Caenorhabditis elegans: one gene and its partners. The protein of the gene in region 1 binds, or shares a complex with, the protein of each later gene. Each region holds a gene or a part of one and is shown on either strand. Other genes may lie near its edges. The genes, in order: mdt-31, mdt-1.2, mdt-15 and let-49.

Region 1 (3,427 bases):
CGATGCCATGAAATCCGGAAGACGTGCTCCTGAAGAGGACGAGCTGGAGCAAGAAGATATTGTGGAAGCGGAGCAGATTCCAAATGAACTCATGAAAGAAGTTTATGAGAAATTCGCCAACGAAAATCCGGATATGAATGAGACTCCCGAAGAATTTTACAAACGTGTATCTGCCTTGGAGAGACCAGTAAGATCAAAAATAAATTTTTTAAAACTCATATTTTTATTATTACTATTATTATTATTATTATTGCAGGCCGCCGCTAGAATTCGAGCTCTGAAGAATAAGCCGGATTATCAAAAAATCCAAGATAAAATCAACGAAATTGTTCAAAAGCACAAAAATGCAGCCGAAATCGACAAAGAACTACACTCCAGTGAAATTCTCTCATCGCTCACAATCACGGAAGTGTTAGTTGAAAACCAAAAAAAAAACACCATATTTTAATTACATTTTGTTTTTCAGTGATGTTCGTTACATGATAGAAAGAAGCAAGACTTTGACGCGTTACTACGAGGCTCGACAGTTTAGAAAGGTAAATTAATTGTACAGAATATTAACCCATTGAAAAATGTTCAGAACGTGGATCAAATCGGATGTCGTGTTCGTCCGATTAAGATCGATTTGGATCCAGAAACAATGCCAACATTTGATCCAAATGATGCTGAAGATGAAAAGCAAATGGTCATTGTGGAGTCGTTGTGCTCTGTAATTCGTGCTCACGACGTAAAAGAATGGGGCACTAAGTTTTGGAATGAACATCGCTTCACAGCGCCGAAATACGCTAAAAGATTTGTGGAGAATGTGAGTCAGAATAGAGAAAATAAAGTTTAATGAAAATTCACATTAAAATTCTCACAGATGGTCATAAACAAGTCAAAAGAAGTCGCTGAATGGTATTTACATGTTAACTCAAAGTCATGCAATCAAAATGATGTACATTGCCCAGCCAAGTCAACTCTTCCTCCGACTGCTGCATCATTCGATCTTCACAAAATGCTTCAAAAAGCCCGTTCTGGATTGAATCGTCTTTCTGCTGAACACTTTTACCCTCTTGATGTCTCTCTGGCTCAACAATTCAACTTCAAAAACGACGAGAGAGAGGGCCTCGACGGAGACAGACGTATGCATATCGGGTTGTCTGATGAGGTCACCAATAGTAAAGAGTATGCGAATTTTTATGTAAGTGAATATATTATATTCTTATTTTTATTTTTGATAATTTTTCAGGCTCGAATGCGTTCGATTCTTCTCGAACCAATGCGTCTTGGAATTGCTCGTGAATCGTCGTCTGATGAAACCAAGCGGCTTGTGCGCTGTCTTGCAGAGGAACGCGCCTGCGATGAAGAACAACAAGTTACCTGTGACCAAATAAGACGACGCCGGATGCCTGATGACGAGATCTATGTTACTCCAACTTCAATCTCTAGAGAACTAAATGTAAAGTTTTTTGCGTTGTCTCCACTGCTAGACGTTGTTTTTTTTCAGAACGGCATGAAAATCGATACCACCGAGTTGTTGGCTAATCTGGACAAGAATTCTGCGAAGAAAATCAGAATGAAAAGGAAGATTGGAGAGGTGAGATGTGACACTAAAATTAAACTTTTACCCCTAGTAATCCTTGCGGTACTATTATCTATATTTTTCTCATAGTCCTCAATGAAACAGTATATTTTTCAGACCGTTGCGACAGTTGCAGCGCGTCCTGCTCGTCCACCGCGTTCATCTGCAGGTACACCCACTCCAAGTCACGTCTCGATCGATACGGAGAGTAATATTTCGCTCAAAGTGGAGTTAGATTGAATATTCTATTATTGAACAATATAACTATTTTACCCAACTCTATGTCATCCTCTCCTGTGCAGTTTTACATCACTTTTTTAAACTGAACCCATTAAAAGTTGATCTCCTAAGATTATTTCACTTTTGTTTTATTAACAATCTCAGCTCTTTATGAACACCATCTGTTAAATTTGTTTTTCTTTTTCTAATAAAATGGTTTTATAGGCATGGGTCGTTTTAGTTTCAATCGATACGGTATGTTTCCATTGGAATAATATATTTAACTCATTTCGTAGTACGGATTTCACCGTATAGGTGAAAAAAGGTCATAATATCAAAATTTTGTAAATTTCTGTAATTTTTCGAAGCTTGAATTCCATTTTTTTTTCTTCAGGCTACAATACAATGCAGATGGAGAGTGTAGAAAGTGAAAAGACGAGATTTGAAGTTGAATGTGAATTCGTGCAGGCTCTTGCAAATCCAAATTATCTTAATTGTGAGTTTATTCACATACACTAGCCGAGAATAGAGAAAAACGTATTTTTATTCTAAGTTTCTTGTTTTTTTATGCACTCTTTTTCCTGCAAATTTCATATTTTCCAGTTCTCGCGCAACGTGGTTATTTCAAAGAAGAATATTTTGTCAACTATCTCAAATATCTTCTCTATTGGAAAGATCCTCAATATGCCAGATGCTTGAAATTTCCTCAATGTCTGCACATGCTTGAAGCACTGCAGAGTCAGCAATTTCGCGATTCGATGGCTTACGGTAGTTCAAATTTTATTTAATCTATCAGAAGAATAGTAACTTATTTTCAGGACCAAGCGCGAAATTCGTAGAAGATCAAGTGGTTCTCCAATGGCAGTTTTATCTTCGGAAACGGCATCGTTTGTGTATGATGCCTGATGAGGGACAAGAGCTTGAAGAATCTGAAGATGAAGCTGATATTCGACAAAAGGACACAGAGGATGAAGATGATGAGGAAACGATGAAGAAACCGGATGCTGACACAGCCGAAAAGAATTCCACAACTTCTACCGTTTCAAAGAAAGAAAAATAAACATAAAAAATGTAAATCAAATAAAACTTCATCACCACTTTATTGAAATTGAAACCTACATTTTACAGAACCGTGAATTTTTTCGAAGCCTGGACAGAAATCAGAGAATATTTGGAAAGTTAGGTTAAGATTTTACTTTCTATTCGAAAATCTTGTATTGGGAACAATTGTAACGTCGTTGACAAATGTCTGATTACGGAAAGCTGTTGTCTCGAGTAGAGTAGAGTCGTCGTTGCTGCATATCTCTTTCTTCTTCCGGCTTGTAGCAGCACGGAATTCAGTTGTAGAAGTGAAAAAATTGATGAAGAAACTACGATAAGAAGCAGCGAACAGATCACGGTCCTCGGGCTTGATAGCGGGGAATCCAACTGGAACAGCACGAAGAACTTCTTCATCGGAAAATTGGAAAGATGTGAAGTCATGACCATCGATTAGTTGATGCTGTCCTGTGCGAACTTCTAGCCTAAATAATTTCAAATGTAATACCATTTCATCTGTATTCAAATTAACAATCGAAGTCTGGTTCGCATGGTTTCTTCACCCCAAACGACATGCACAAAGAATTTGGCTCCAGGAAGAATACG
Region 2 (5,503 bases), on another chromosome or scaffold:
CTATCACCGTTTCTTTCCACAACAGTCTCCTGTCAAATTTGTAACATATACGTAATTATGGATATAGTTTCTGTCAATAATGAATTTGTCAAAAAATCAATTTTTTGGGTTTTCATGCTTAAACAGAGTTTGTAAATTATATTAATCCCAAATTACAAAATTATGCAATCGGATTTCTCAAAAATGTTTTAAAACTTTTTAAGAAAGGTCAAAATTTCAATGATCATTAAATGAACATTGATTTCCGGCCATGTGCCACATACAAACATAAATATTGAAGATTTTAGCTGAATTGAACAGTTTTTTTTTGAAATTTTGAACTGCAATGTAAAATATTTTAAAAACTTTGAAAAGTCTCATTATGAAATTTAGTTGTTTGGGTAAACTTTCGAGGTCTTTGGGCAACTAGAGCTACTTTTATATATTTTCAGCAAGCTTACAATTGACATAATTAAAGAAAATATTGCCCAGTTTGACTATTAAAGATATTTTTGACCCTAAGTAATCAACTTTCAGTATTCATGCAAAAAACCTCTAATCATTTTTTTCTGCTTTTCAGCTCTTTGAAAAATTCAGATGGCAAATTTTAAATAATACAAATGCATATAAAACTTAATTTCAAACATTCACAACAATCAAAATGAGTATCAAATAAGGCTCAAGTATATAATAAAACAAAAACTATACAAACACATCATAAGTCAAAAATCCGTTAGAAGGAACGTCCAGCCGCATAAGTTGGAATTGGGCCCACAGTCTCCGGGTTTTCACTTCTCAACGGAACTTTGATCTTTGCCAAGTTGCAGTCACTACCCGACACGGCGTAGGTAAGCATATTTGGAATGCTCCAAGTTCTGAAATTTTCAAATGTTTTCTCTAGGATGTTCTATGGACAAAGAGTTGGCACCAAAACTGCTATTGACATTCTCAGGAACTTTGCAACAAGTCCTGCGTTTGCGTTAGTGTACGGTTTCAACTTACTCATTGAGTTTTCTGCTCAATGTTTCATCAATCTTTTCAGCAATCTGGAGGCCTGTCTGTGCATGCACAACATTCACCTTTGCCTCACAAACTCCACTATCCTGGATTACAACTGCAAATTTACTTAATATTAAACACTTTATCTATCTAGAACTCACCTTTGACCGGCGCAAATTTTGTATCAAAGGTGATTACAATTTGCTCTCTTGTCAGAAAAACGTCCATCTTGATTGCGGCAACCGTGTGCTTTTTCATACCCTGCTTCTCATAACACGCGGATATCATCGACTCCCAAAGGCTGATATGCATGGCTTCGTTGCGAAGAATTGCAATTATCTGCAATTATAATTTATTTTTATCGAGTAGTGGAATATCTGACTACATATGTTAATGATGTCTTAAATAATATTTCTACTTCTAGTATTTGAACGGACTCACAAAGTTCAATAATTCCCTGTGGCAAAAAACCGAAAGTTGCAAAATGTGTGTCCATATTATGTAAAGCATGCATTAGCATGTATGCTTATTTTCTCAAAACAAAAAAGATACTCAAATGTTTATGTTTTTGCTAATTGAATCATGAAACTGGCGCTTTTAAAATACAATCTATGTTACTACTGCTTACCTCATGAAAATCTTGCAAATGCTTCAAATAAATCTCAGTGATCACAGAGTCACCATCATTGCGCAACTGGTTCACATCGACATTGTAGAAGTGTTGAGTTTGTCCATCGCCAAACTGTGTAATCATCTGCAGGTTGTTCTCAATCTTCACCGCTCCAGTCACGTAGCGATAGCTATTTGTGAAATGCTTAACGGATGGAGTCTTTGCACTGATTGCTCCCAACTTCTTTCTAGTCGTTTCAGTAAGATTGAACCCTCTGGATAGCTTCATACAAATCACAGCGTTTGCTTCAATAGATTCTGCCCAGCCTCTGGAAATTTACAATTTTCAATAATATTAAGATGTGAATGAACTCACTTTGTGTCAAACTCTGGAAGTGTACACGGGCTATCATGCTTGGCAAACGAAAATTCAAAGTATGGCAAAACTTCGTGATCATCCTTTTGTAACTGGAAAATATGATCCTTGGAGCGAATGTTCCGAAAGTGTGGTTCCGCCAAATAATATACACGCCCTGCGCGGAGATCATTACGTGGAAGGTAGAAACTAAAATTAAAATTTTTCATTAAAAAAATAATTATAAAGTTACCCATAGTTGGATCTGTGAATTGAAGTGTAGGAAGGGTCTTGAGAGAAGTGTCCAAAAAGCATCTCGAGCATTCTCATAGCTCCCATGCAGTTTCTACGATCGTCTCTGAAAAATGGGAGTGAGTTCTAGAAGCATTATTTTTTGCTTTGCTCAAAGTCAAACAACATACCTGCTCAACAACTTATCATACGTCAACAGCATATCTGAGATTCGGTTTCGAAGCTCTGTCCACATCCCTAACTGGAGCATTCTTGTAGCTTCTGGGGAGTAGAATGAAGGCTCTTCCCAAAAACTAAGCACAACGGTTGTCACTTCACCATCGTTGACAGTAAAGTCCATGATGAGATCTTCTTGACGATTGATGGACCATCCGCGAGAAGTTTGTTTGTGCAAGCATCTGGAAATAAAAGTGAGCTATGTATTTTAATAAATTTTGAGCGATTAGAAGTTATGGCTAGGCAAATTTCAAGTGGATAACGTTGGAATATGTATAAGTTTTGTCGGACTCCAACGTACCAGGTTTCTAATTTTTTTAAAAGGAAACTAGTCTATCGAGAAACAAATGTTGTGCAGTACTTTCATTTATTTGTGAAATGTAATAATGTGTAAAGATTTCAGAGAAATTGAGTAGGTGCTCACTTTCTTAATTTTGTATATTTAGTACGCGATTATTTTCTAGCAATTGGCAGTCGGTAAACTCTTCTAGTTTTTGACAGGTTTGCGTCTCAATCTTGGATACAAGTACAATATTTTTATTACAAACTAGGGTCCGATGTGGAACTGATTTTGGTTCTTCAAGAAAACATGAAACTTGACAGTGTTTCAGAAAATTTGAAGTATATGTGGGTCTACTCCTTTTTGATTTTTTTCTTTCTTGAAGCAACAGGTGCTACGAAAAATAGATTTCCAAGTTATTAATGCTCAATCGGCAAATGAATTCTACCTTAAGAGCACTCAAAAATTATACATTTTGATGCATGTGAAAAATAGGTGCAAGGAAATGCTCTATCATTTTTAGCAGTTAAATTCTAGGTTCCAAAAAAGCCAGGTTTTTATGGCAGTTTTCTAAATTTAACGCCATTTCTCTAACTGAAAACTTACCCAAGACTCTCAGCCATAACCCGTATCTTCTCCTCCATCAGATTGTTTTCCTCGATTGGCATTTTTGTTTTCATGTACGCAATCCCGTTGAGCACGTCAATTCTACCATCAGCATCGATTGTGTTACGTTTTTCCTGCAATTCATGCATTTTTCAAATTGTCTTTCACAATAAATAAGTTTAAAGAAAATAGTTACCAACAAGTTTCGCCTCACAGCCTGCCCGAATGATGTCCATTCCATTTTTGATGCGGCTTGCCGGACCTGTTCCAATCTCATTTCCTCGTCAATATGCTCAATGTTGAGCTCTTGATTCTTCCGCTGCTCCAACAGGTAAACTTTCGTTTTCGGTGATGGAGTGGAAACCATTCTAAAATCGAAATTTAATCGAGTTGAATACAAATTTACAAATAAGAGAGGAAAGTTAACAATAAAAAATAAATATAAACAAAAAGAAATAAAAAATAAGATGTCGTCTTCAAAGGGAAGTCCGCAAAATGCCGTGATGGTGTTTGCACACTGTCTGCACACTCCTTGGATACCTTATCTCTAGCTAATGCGTGTTTGAGAGAGCGGGAGAGGAACATGGGCAATGGAGGGGAGAAGGACACAGCCAAGACATTAGAAAAGTGGTGTCATAGAACATGGAAACGATGATGAACAATTACAATTGCTAATGGAAAAAAATAAGTATGGGAATTTCGAGAAGAAGAAGAACTTGTCAAAAAAAATTTTTTTTTGCTTTTCCATGCCAGTGTTTTTCTATATTTTCAGTTCAATCCTAGGGCGAATGACAATATTTTTTAGGACCTAATGTGAATCTGGACAAGTATTTGCGGTATAGTTTTTGTTTTTATTGGGGCTTGAAAATCGTTACTAAATTGTGAAAACATCTTGATGGAAACACTCCCAATGATAGCCCATTTTGAATATGACTAAGATATTTTGCCGAGAATACTTTTGAAAATAATTTTTTCATTACAAAAAAAGTAGTTTAAAAGTGTGTTGAAAACGGTTTTGCATTTTAAAAATCACTAAATGATACTGCCACTTAAAAAAATGATTTTACACACATTTATCTTCTTTTTGTATAATACATACATATTCTTAAACAAAATTTGATAAGTTTACAAACGGTCGTACTTTTGTCATTCTACACCCTTAAATTTTTAAAATTTTTCTTCAAATAAAAAATTTATACCGTGAGATTATGCATTATTTTTACTAGGTATTTTTCAATCATCAAAGACTCCTGGCAGTTTTTTAAACTTAATTTCAAGTTGCTTAATATCAAATTTTCCCCGTTTTTTTAAGTTTCATCTAATTTATAAACAAGCTTTATATATTTTCACAACATGCCATGTTTCGGTGGGATTCCCAATGCAATCTCACAACGTTATGAACATTTTTGCTGAAAATTTCAAAAATTTCGAGAATTTTTCCACAAATCGTTCACAATTCAACAAAAAATCTGCTGATCTAAAATTTTCCCAAAACGAATATAGCATGTATCACAAATCTTTCAATGTTCTTTCATCTCTTTGTTGAACCATCTGACGAACAGGTGCTCGAACACTGTTGCGCTTTTTTCGCCTCAACAGATGTTGGACCTTCGAGGAATTGCACAACGGTGCTCTGTGTTCTCCCTCAATTTTCTGGTGGTGTAGCCGTTGTGTGCATTGACTGCGCAGCCAGACCCACCAGTTTCCTCGTCGTCGTCGTCTCTGTTTCAAGTCCAATTTATAGGGCGGGCAGGCGGCTGTGCTGCTGGTTTCGTTGTCTCGCCGTCTTCCATTCTTCGTCTCGACTGGTTGGTATTAGGTCGAATGTTTTTTTTTTTGGATTTTACAAGTTCTCTCTCATCCAATTCTTTCTTCACTCTCATATTTCAATTGGCCACTTCATTTTCGATGTTTGCACACTTGAGCGAACTTGTTTTCGAATTTATAATCTGTAAATTTTAAAGCTAACAAAATGTCGCTGAGCAGTCAACAGCCTGCAGAAAACCAACCATTCGACTTCAAATCATCACAACTTTACTGGAACTCCACAGCTGCACTCATGGAGTCTCAATTCAAAAACAGTGAGTTGATTGGATACACTGAGCTTATGAGCTCGTTTGAGCCAGAATTTCTCATTGAGGATTCCATGAATTCTCTAGAGGTTGTCCACACTGTTGCACTTTTAAATATAGAATGCCTTATTTTTG
Region 3 (6,066 bases), on another chromosome or scaffold:
GATAGGAGGAGGAGGCAAAACAATCATTTATAGAGGACAACAACAACTGAATCCATTCCACGAAGACTCGATTTTCTTTTTTGTACAGGTTTTGTGCAACTGAGCAATTCAATTCAGACGAGGCGGAGTTTAGAACGGATTTGACCTGAAAATTAGAAAACATTGATTGAGAAGAAAACAGTTTGTTTAAAAAAAACTGTCTTCTAATTTTTTTAAAGGTTTGCGTTTTTAAAGAGTACTGTAATTTTAAAATCATGTTTCAAATCATATTAATTGTGTTTTCATTGTCAAATTCGGGTATTTTTTTTAGATTGACAGGTATATATTTTTTTAATCAAAAAACGATGAAAAAATAGAGTACTCTTTAAAGACGCACATATTTTCGCATTTGACCAACATTTTTCGTGTCGAGACCGGTTACCGTAATTTTGGTGAAAAATCGTAAACTTTCGCGTTTGAGTAATACTTTTTGTAAAGTTATTACAAAAATTAAAACTTTCCGGAATTTTTTCACTTCCAACTTTATTTTATAATGTTTTTCATATTTTTTATTATTTTACAAAAATAAACATTGAATAACAAAACTTTTAGTGAGCAGGCACAAAAAAAGAAACTTAATGCACTCTACCTAACTTACAAGTTAAGATTATCGTAGAAGAAATCGTTGCCCACGTTGAAAGCGACGTCTAGACCACCGCTTGTCTGGTTTTGGTATTGATTCACTTGTTCTTCCTGTAGAAAATTATAAATTTAAAATTCAATTTGAAGTGCAATTTTCATAAATTTCCCTTTCTCAGCGAAAGAACTTACCCAAGCATTCAAATAGTCAGTAATTGACGAAAGACCGGGTCGTGATAATCTCTCATATACTGAATTTTGTAGATCATCATACAAATATGCATCCAAATCAATGACTGCTCGATCTACAGTCACATTTCCAGCTGGATAAGTGGTTGGAACAACGAGTCGAAGTGGTGGGAACTGTTGATTACGGATTTTACAGACGACAATGATATGATTGGCATCATGACGTTGATGGTTTGGATCAATCTCGAATCGAGCATCAAGGATTTGAAGTTCCTTTCTTGCTGTTTCATTGAGATTTGATCGTTGAACTGGTGGACCAGCCTGAATATTTATTGATTGAGATTATTGATTGGCTGTTGATTTTTTTTTTGTAAAAATAGATTTTTTGGTAATCTTGTTGGTTTTTTCGGACCAAAAAAAGAAAAAAAAACTGAATTGCGAAAATGTTGATTTTTAGTCGGGAGAAGAAAAAATACGAAAATGTTTTGTTTTTGGTCTAAAATGTTTTTGGTGTCCCTGTTTGAGATCAGAGGTTTTTCGTTTTTCGATTTTTTTTTTCGTGTTTTCGGCGACACAATTATTTTTCACTTTTTTCAAAAATCATTTGAGGATACTTTGTGTGTTTTTTTTTTTTGAAAGCTGAGAAACTCAATTTTTAATATAAAACTTACATTCATCGAATTCTGCCCGACGTGCAATGTTGGCTGAAGTGCATCAATCGGCGTTGGGTTTGGAAGGAAATCATCATAGTTCAGATCATCAAGTCCTGACATTCCACCCATTGATCCAGGTGTTCCCATTTTTTGATTCGGTGTACCCATTGGATTCATTGAAGGGGCTCCAGAACTTGGACCTGACATACTTGATCCACTCATCGAATTACGATCTCTTCCAATTGGTCCAGGACCATTTGGCATTCTCATATTGTTTCTCATCGCTGCAGGATTCGGGTATGGAGCATGACGATGATTGTTGACTGGTGATGTCATCGGATCGTGTCCCATATCTCCACGATACATTCCATGAACTGGACCACCTCCACCCTGCATCATCATATGATCCTGTGGCATCATTCGTTGCTGCTGTTGGTGTTGCTGTTGATGCCACATTGGTGGTTGATGCATTTGCATATGTGGTGGTGGAGGTCCCATATACTGCTGATGTCCATAACCTGGATGTCCTCCGTAGGGATTTGGCACCTGACCATTACCCAACATAGCATGTTCACCGTTCATCATCGGATCGTTCATTCCCATATGATTCTGATTCTGTGACATTGGAGCAATATTCAAGAAGTCTTGCTTTCTGGCAATCCACATCTCCAAATGGTTCAAGTATTCAAGGCTAACCACACGTTTTCCTTCGAGCACACTGAGCATAACCTCAAGCTTGTGAGCAGCTTCATGGTTACCCTCATGTCTGCATTGCCTTGCTCGTGTTCTCAAACTGTCGCAGCTTCCACGCATATTTCTCAATTTCGCAGAATACACGGTTTGATCCTCGGAACTCATCATTCCCTGGTTTGGAACCATTCCGGGTCGTTGCTGTTGCTGCTGTTGTTGTTGTTGTTGCTGTTGTTGGGCAGCTGCACGTTGAGCAGCAACATTTCGATCTCCAGGTGGGCCCATCTGATTGTGATGTCCTGGATATTGTTGAGGCTGATTGATAAGTGATTCAAGAACTGATGAAGGACCGGTTGGAGTGGCTCCTTGACCGTTCATTGGTCTTCCAGGATATCCATGTGGTTGTTGTGGTGGCATTGCACCCCATTGTGGTTGTTGTTGATACATATGTGCTGAAGGATCCCAAGGACGAGCTTGATCCATCTGAAAAAAAAATTAATCAAAAATTGAAAAATTAGCAGATTAAAAAAAAATACATTTGAAAAATAAACTCACATCCTTTTTAATCTGCTGATTGTACGGATTTCCACCCATTGGAGCACCACTACCAGGTGGTCCATTCATCATACCGTAACCACCGTATCCATTCGGTGGTCCACCCATATTTGGAGCACCCATTTGCGGTGGTGGCTGACCCATTGCTGGTCCACCATTCATCTGGCTGCTTCCATTTGGGAATGGAACATTTGGTGCCGGCGTCGGACCTCCACCGGGTGCCTGTGATCCTGGAGTGATCTGTCCACCTGGACGAATACTTGTATCTGGTGATGGAAATGAAGCAACCGCGGCGGCAACAGCAGCAGTGGCAGAAGCTGATGGAGCAGGCAATCCTCCTGGCGGATTTGGTGCTGATGGAGTTGTTGATGCCTGTGTTGTTGCTACGGTAACAGGTGGATTTCTTGCCTGAGCTGATGTTGGTTGTGGATCTGGAGGCACAGGAGCTCGATATCCGGGTGTTCCGCCAGCCGGAGTGTTTCCTAATAGAGCTAATTGAAATTTTAGATTTTCGTTGCCACAAAAAACTACAAAAAGTTACCTGCTGTCGTACACGGCGGACTATGAAACTGTGATGGTTGTAACACGGAAGGCACTGCCGCTGATTTACTATTACAATTGATAGCATTAATCACTTTTGCGATCGTCCTCATATATTCGTCCTTCGACATACACTTTGCGAACACATATTCTTCGACCTGCCTCGCGTCACCGGGTACTGGTAAATTTGGGGCATTCTGCCGGTTTCTCGCCAACTCAGGCTCACTGAAAATTGGAAAATTTTTATATTTCGGGATTTTTTTTTCATTTTTAAAAAGAGTACAGCCTGGATACATTTGTGACATCAGCTCCTATGGTTTATAATTTACAAATACTTGGGAATTTATCAAAATTTTGAATGGAAATTTTTGGAAATTTTCAACAAAAAAAAAATTTTTTAAAATGTTTTCTCGGTTATCAAAAAAATATTCCTTTAAAAAAAGCTTACAGTCTCTGAATAACATGCTCTCGAAATTTCGGCGAAGGCCAATCCTCTTCGCTCATCTTTCTACTCTGCTCTTGTTTTTGAAATGTTGCTTTTGCAAGCGATTCAACAACCGTCGACGTCAACGTGGCGGCGGCTTTCTGAGCGTCTTGATTCACACACAATTATCGACAAGAAGGAAAATGAAGAACAAATCAAAACGACGAACGCGGCAAACGAAAAATAACGACGATTCCTGCAAAAGAAATAGAATAATGGATGGTTGAAAGTGGGGAAAAATTGTCACTTTTTGTATTATGGTGCATCGATCTATTGTGATTCAACTTTCAATTCACAAAAGATCAGGATGGAAATATCAAAAAGTTCCCCATTTTCTCACCTCTTGTTCTCGTCAATAGTCGACGAGCCGGCAAAATTTTCGGATCGCCGACGGCAAAATCACTTTTTGATTCGTTCCCCGGTTTGACCTGAAATTAGGAATTGAAAAAAATATTTAGCGATGTTGAACGAAGAAGAGATTAATAATAAAGGAATACGGATAAGGAGACGGATAAGGAGAAAAAAATAAACGGAGTTGAGAGAGATAAGATATCCCAAACGCTTGAAATTAAGAAAGAAAAACAAATAAAAATAGGCAATTATGAGATAGAGATATTCTGTAGGAGAAATGGACCAGAGAGATAAGATATTCAGAACGCTGAAAAACGTTAAATTTTTTAATGGAAGATATGTGGTGGTTAGTATTATTTGGAAGATTTGGTAAGTTTTAAAAAAACTGAAAAATGTTTGAAATTTTCAAACAAAAAGTTCACTTTCACATCAAGATGTGAATTGTCTAGGTTTGCTCCGTGCAGCATCATGTTCCGCGAGTCCATTCGGGCATAACGACGCAGGCAATTCAACGAGAACCTGGAAAATTTAAAAATTAAATGTTTTGTGTATAAAATTTTGTAAAGCAAGGGGACATACATTTCGCGTCAACGTAATTCTTCTAGTTTTTGACAAAAAAACGGCACCCGGTCTCGACACGACACTCTCTTGATGAATGTGAAAGGTGTGCGCCTTTAAAGAGTACTGTAACTCCAAACTTTAATCTCAGTCGAATTTTTAAAGATTTTTCATTGTTTTTCGATAAAAAAATATATTTATGAATTTATGGGAAAACTCAATGAAATGAAAATTTGAAATTACCGCAGTAATGAAAATTTGAAGTTACCGAACTCTTTAAAGACGCAGACCTTTCGCAGTTAACAACAATTTCTGTCGTGTCGAGACCGGGTACCGTATTTTCGGCGCAAAAATTGTAGAATTAATCACAACATTTTTTTGTTTTAAATTGCTCTAGAACGCTGAAATATGTTCTTATCTTATGGAACGTTTTACCGGTCTTATCATTCCCGAATAATTTTCATTTTCTTACAAAAAAAACGAATTCCGTTTTCCGCCTAACAAAAAATCCATTTTCGTCGCAGAGAGAAAACCAGCTCAAGTGCAAGAAATTAGGCAACCTTCCAGCACCACAACACATGTGTGAAGTGCCGGAGAGCGCGCGCGAAAAAAGACGAAAGGGAATTCGGTTAGCGCGCACTGGAAAGTAAACCAATTACACGTGTGTTGGAAGGTGTCCGTCCACAATTTTTACCTGCTTCAAGTCGAAATAGACGGCAGTATCGTCAGGTGTGAGGAATGTGATTGCTTTTCCATGTTTGCCAGCTCGACCTGAAATTTTGGAAAGAATTATCAGATGTTATCGAGAATTAAACTAGAAGTGTGGAAGATTTCAAATATTTAGCTTCAAAATTTAAGAAAAATGTGCACTTTTTTCAATTTTTAAAAGAAAAACTTCTGATTTCAAATTATGAGAGCACCAGTCAAGCTGGGAGCCTAAGATATCGTATTAGAACTTATGGGTCAAAATAAAAACACAAAAATACGACACTGCCAAGTGCAATAACAATGTGAAAAATCAACGCAAGAAGAAAAAGAAAACGAAAAGGGGGAGCAAATCATTTATCACCAAACGAGCGTGTCGACGAAGCAGCACCACCACGCGGTCGGTGAGCCAGATAGAGAGAGAGATAGAGAGAGAGGGAAAGAGCCCGAGCAACTGGCGACATTTTCTAACAGAGAGAGAGTTCGGTGCTGATTGCCTGAGCAAAGACGAAGGGCAGGTGCTGACAGGGAAATTCAGAATACCGATGGAAGCCGTATCGAAGAAGTAGAACTGGGTGCGAAACGAATGTGGAAAGTGGCGAGGATAGGGGAAAAGAAAACGAATAAGAAGAAGAAGAAGACGACGATGAAAAAGAAGAAAATGATTGATAATACCGTAGACGGACACACAAGTTAATGATGTTCAGAATAGTGTGCAAAATT
Region 4 (3,486 bases), 5.9 Mb from region 1:
GACGTCATATGCTTTATATTTGTGCATCGGAATATTATTCGGAGCATTGCATCGGATTCGAAGAGGATTAGCTCACTGTAAGATGATTGAGTTGTATGATTTTTTCTTAGAAAATAGTGAAAAGGAGTTCAAATTTCCAAGTCGCCGAATTTTAGACCATTGAATAATTTTAGGCCTTCACAGGAATTTAGGCTTTCTGAAGAATTTGTGCAAAATGGTATAAAAATGCAAACTTGGAATTAAATAGTATCTCATTATGCATTTTTTGGATTTTCCAAAAAATAAAGTCCAATATTAAATTTCGTGTTTGGAGGTTTTTTAAAGTAATTTTAGTCAAAAAAAAACTCACTTATCTGCCGTTAAAATCACTAATTTCCCATTTAAATTCGCAAAATTCATCAAATCATCTTTCAAAATTACAATTTTCGATTTCAATGATTGCTGTTCCACGTGAATTTCCAAAAGATCTCCATTTTGAGAGCTGATCGCCAGTGTACTATCGTCTATTTTACTGATTTTCTGAATAACACCAATTGGAATTGCAATCTTTTGCCGCAAATCAATCGAACGTTCATCATATTTCCAGCAGAACAGTGTTTGTTCGATACCGCCCGTGTAGATTCTATAATTGATTGGATCCACGCAAATGGCGAATGGACGGGCTGTATGACCGAATACTGTGCTAAAAATGGAGAATTGTGTCGATTTACGCAGCAGTTCTCATGTACTCCTCGTGAAGAAGATTTTTTTTTGAATTGTTTTAGTTGAAATCGATAAATTTAAAGTTAAAAATAAGTATTAGAAAACCAACCAAAGCGGACCACTTTCTCTGTCATCAATTGGCCACATTCGAATTGTTCGATCATCAGAAATTGTGAAAATACGTGTGGAATCCGTTACAATTGAAAAGATCATTCCCTAAAAATTGGAATAGTATAATTCTTTTTTCGGCCAACAACAAAGCTATTTCCAAGTCAAAAATCGAACTTTATGTCCTTTTCTCATAATTGGCTTCTCGTCTTCGTGTGGCTTCCAATCAATTAATTCTCCGATAACACTTCCAAAATACACGTGACAAGATTCTGCACTATTTCCGATGATTAGAGAGCAAATTCTGGAAAATTAGGAAATTGTTCCAGTATTATTTTACTAATTTACGCACGATGTGGCAAAGTAATCGCATTGAATTTTCGATAAAACGCTCAGATTTGAAGATATGCGAATTGTGAGCGAATTCCTCGATGTTACGGTGATTATTTTCTGAAAAATTGGAAAGTTGTTTGAAGTCGGCGATTTTGAGAGTAACCTTTTACCTTTTCTTTTTTGAACAACTTGCAGCCAATGATATGCTCAGGAAACTCCTCAATTATTTGGTTTTCAGCACATTTTGAGTATTTTTCATCAAATTTTGCACATGTGATGATTTTCCCGCTTAGCAGATGTTTTTCAGCTATTTTTGATTGAATAAGGTGGTCGAGAAGACATGGATTATCTTCTAATTCGTCCATTGAACTGAAAACAATTCGTTTAAGAACAAAAATAAATAGAAAAAAGAAAAAAGAAAAAAAAACAAATTTTCAAAAATAATGCAACTGCGCTCCTCCGTACTCTCACGTTTTTCATTTTTCTTTCTTTTATTATTATACTTCCCTTCCTTTTCAGCTCTGTTTTCATCGTTTTCAACTCATTTTTTTCAGTTTTCATTTAAAATGCTTCCTGGTTTTGGTGCACAAACAGTCAGCCCGTTCCCAAATCCTCCAGAGTACGCATCGGCGTATACAAGTGATCGAATCAATAATGGTAAGGAGTTTGAATTTTGAAATTTTGAAACTAGCAGTTTTTAATTCAGCAAACAGTATTTTTTTTTGTTAGAAATAAAACGCAATTTCTCTAACAGATTTCTCATACATCACTTTAACAAGATTCAGGTTCGGCACCACCTCCGCCGCATCCACTTACGGAATTCAAGGTGTACGGAGAGGAATATCGATTGGAAGATGATGTCATCGCGTAAGAAATTTTAGCGGCTATATAAAAACCAAAAACATGCTGAGTCTAGCCGAATTTTCCCACCTATTTTGCAAAAACCTTTTTCAATACGCGGGAAAAACTAGAATAAAACATTCATTTACAGCCCTCTGAAAAACGCCGGTGTTGCTGAGCTCTACAAGAACAAAAATAATTGGAAAACCGAGATGAAGAAGTTGAACAGGTCCGCCATAGTCGCATTTTTCGATTTGGTCGAAATTCTGATTCGCGCTCCCGATCACCCAATGAGAGAGGAGAAAATGGTCGATTTACACACGATATTCATTAATATGCATCATTTGATCAATGAATTCCGGCCAGTTCAGGTAGAAAAGTGTTTTAAAAATGAAATAAAATCTATATTTTTCTATGTTTTTCAGGCTCGCGACAGTGTTCGAATTTTACAAGAGAGACAAATCGAAGAATTATCGGATATTTGCAAGGATTTTAAGTTAGTCAAATCGGAATTAAGTTTTAAATTTGTATATTTTTTCTCCTTTTTTCCAGAAAATATCTGCGTGATGGTCGAGAAGTTGTCGATGACCAATTCCAAATGATCCGTGGGAAGCTTCCAGCTCCACCTCAACCTTCGGAACTGACACGTGTCAAACTGCAAGACGGAGTGCTTCATATGCTTCAGGAGACAGAAGCTTCAGATGACGTGGAAATGAAAGAGGAAGAAGGATCGGAATATAGTAAAAAGAAAGCGAGGCTGGAACTATTATCAAGAGAAGATGGACCACCGAGTGTTGTACACTTGTTAGCAAGACAGTTTCATGATATCTCACTGAAGAAATAATTAAATAATTTCATTTTAATTTATTTTACCGGGTTTTCGAACTATGATTTTGACTCTGATGATCTTCTGAAATGCTGTAATTAAAATTTCGTTTAAAAATAACTTTTTTCAATCGTTTTTTCATCTTTGTTCTGTTGAAAATGCGTCAATTCGCATTCTTTATTTCGAATTATTTTTTATACTTTTTAGGCAGCTTTCGTGTGACATAAACAATTATCTTCAGGGAATACGTTTCATTTCGAAAAACAGTGTTTTTTCTTCAAAAAATTAAAAACCTGAAAATGAGAAAACTAAAATTTTCGGTTTTTTTATTTTAGAGGAAAACGCCAATTAAAAGCGCAAAGTCGTACGTAGCTTTTTCGATTTTATTCTTTCTATAATTGGAAATTATGAGCAGAAATTATTGATTAAAAATCAATAATTTAAGCCAAAAAAACTGTAAAATTCTCTTCTCCTCGAGAAGTATACGAATTCTGCGTGAATCAACACATAATACCCCTAATTTCAGACGCCTCCACTCATCAGGAATGTCAGATGCTGCGACAAGACGACTGATGAAAGAGCTGGCTCAACTGAAAAGTGAGGCTCCAGAAGGGCTTTTAGTGGATAATACATCAACAAGTAACGATTTGAAGTACGATCGATTTTTTCAGTTTTAA

What was found.
Region 2: mdt-31 (region 1) and mdt-1.2 share a complex: the UniProt entries of both Caenorhabditis elegans proteins name them as parts of the mediator complex.
Region 3: mdt-31 (region 1) and mdt-15 share a complex: the UniProt entries of both Caenorhabditis elegans proteins name them as parts of the mediator complex.
Region 4: mdt-31 (region 1) and let-49 share a complex: the UniProt entries of both Caenorhabditis elegans proteins name them as parts of the mediator complex.

What each region holds. Positions count from the first base shown.
Region 1 is NC_003279.8:8,964,120-8,967,546, forward strand, and holds mdt-31 (Mediator of RNA polymerase II transcription subunit 31), read left to right. Parts: upstream 1-1,994; 5' UTR 1,995-2,010; coding exon 2,011-2,038; intron 2,039-2,177; coding exon 2,178-2,279; intron 2,280-2,386; coding exon 2,387-2,551; intron 2,552-2,601; coding exon 2,602-2,843; 3' UTR 2,844-2,882; downstream 2,883-3,427. Other genes in the region: snpc-4 (snRNA-activating protein complex subunit 4 homolog), read left to right, coding at 1-187, 257-411, 467-536, 581-805, 863-1,183, 1,232-1,441, 1,490-1,627, 1,682-1,804; spd-2 (Spindle-defective protein 2), read right to left, coding at 2,976-3,306, 3,354-3,427. UniProt on the Caenorhabditis elegans protein: Component of the Mediator complex, a coactivator involved in the regulated transcription of nearly all RNA polymerase II-dependent genes.
Region 2 is NC_003284.9:17,149,683-17,155,185, reverse strand, and holds mdt-1.2 (Mediator of RNA polymerase II transcription subunit 1.2), read right to left. Parts: upstream 3,665-5,503; 5' UTR 3,664-3,664; coding exon 3,493-3,663; intron 3,431-3,492; coding exon 3,297-3,430; intron 2,593-3,296; coding exon 2,365-2,592; intron 2,301-2,364; coding exon 2,196-2,300; intron 2,153-2,195; coding exon 1,964-2,152; intron 1,917-1,963; coding exon 1,607-1,916; intron 1,318-1,606; coding exon 1,140-1,317; intron 1,094-1,139; coding exon 982-1,093; intron 855-981; coding exon 713-854; 3' UTR 539-712; downstream 1-538. Other genes in the region: T23C6.4 (Caprin-1_dimer domain-containing protein), read left to right, coding at 5,269-5,377. UniProt on the Caenorhabditis elegans protein: Component of the Mediator complex, a coactivator involved in the regulated transcription of nearly all RNA polymerase II-dependent genes.
Region 3 is NC_003281.10:5,829,589-5,835,654, forward strand, and holds mdt-15 (Mediator of RNA polymerase II transcription subunit 15), read right to left. Parts: upstream 4,158-6,066; 5' UTR 4,070-4,157; intron 3,926-4,069; 5' UTR 3,889-3,925; coding exon of another isoform or gene 3,796-3,888; 5' UTR 3,750-3,795; coding exon 3,694-3,749; intron 3,471-3,693; coding exon 3,247-3,470; intron 3,197-3,246; coding exon 2,706-3,196; intron 2,634-2,705; coding exon 1,479-2,633; intron 1,129-1,478; coding exon 811-1,128; intron 733-810; coding exon 634-732; 3' UTR 537-633; downstream 1-536. Other genes in the region: R12B2.13 (uncharacterized protein), read right to left, coding at 3,796-3,888; R12B2.6 (uncharacterized protein), read right to left, coding at 4,434-4,565. UniProt on the Caenorhabditis elegans protein: Component of the Mediator complex, a coactivator involved in regulated gene transcription of nearly all RNA polymerase II-dependent genes.
Region 4 is NC_003279.8:14,818,715-14,822,200, forward strand, and holds let-49 (Mediator of RNA polymerase II transcription subunit 7), read left to right. Parts: upstream 1-1,697; 5' UTR 1,698-1,709; coding exon 1,710-1,800; intron 1,801-1,922; coding exon 1,923-2,010; intron 2,011-2,134; coding exon 2,135-2,354; intron 2,355-2,408; coding exon 2,409-2,479; intron 2,480-2,535; coding exon 2,536-2,827; 3' UTR 2,828-2,937; downstream 2,938-3,486. Other genes in the region: Y54E5B.2 (WD_REPEATS_REGION domain-containing protein), read right to left, coding at 1-75, 350-682, 812-918, 988-1,114, 1,163-1,260, 1,314-1,508; ubc-16 (Ubiquitin-conjugating enzyme E2 W), read left to right, coding at 3,355-3,461. UniProt on the Caenorhabditis elegans protein: Component of the Mediator complex, a coactivator involved in the regulated transcription of nearly all RNA polymerase II-dependent genes.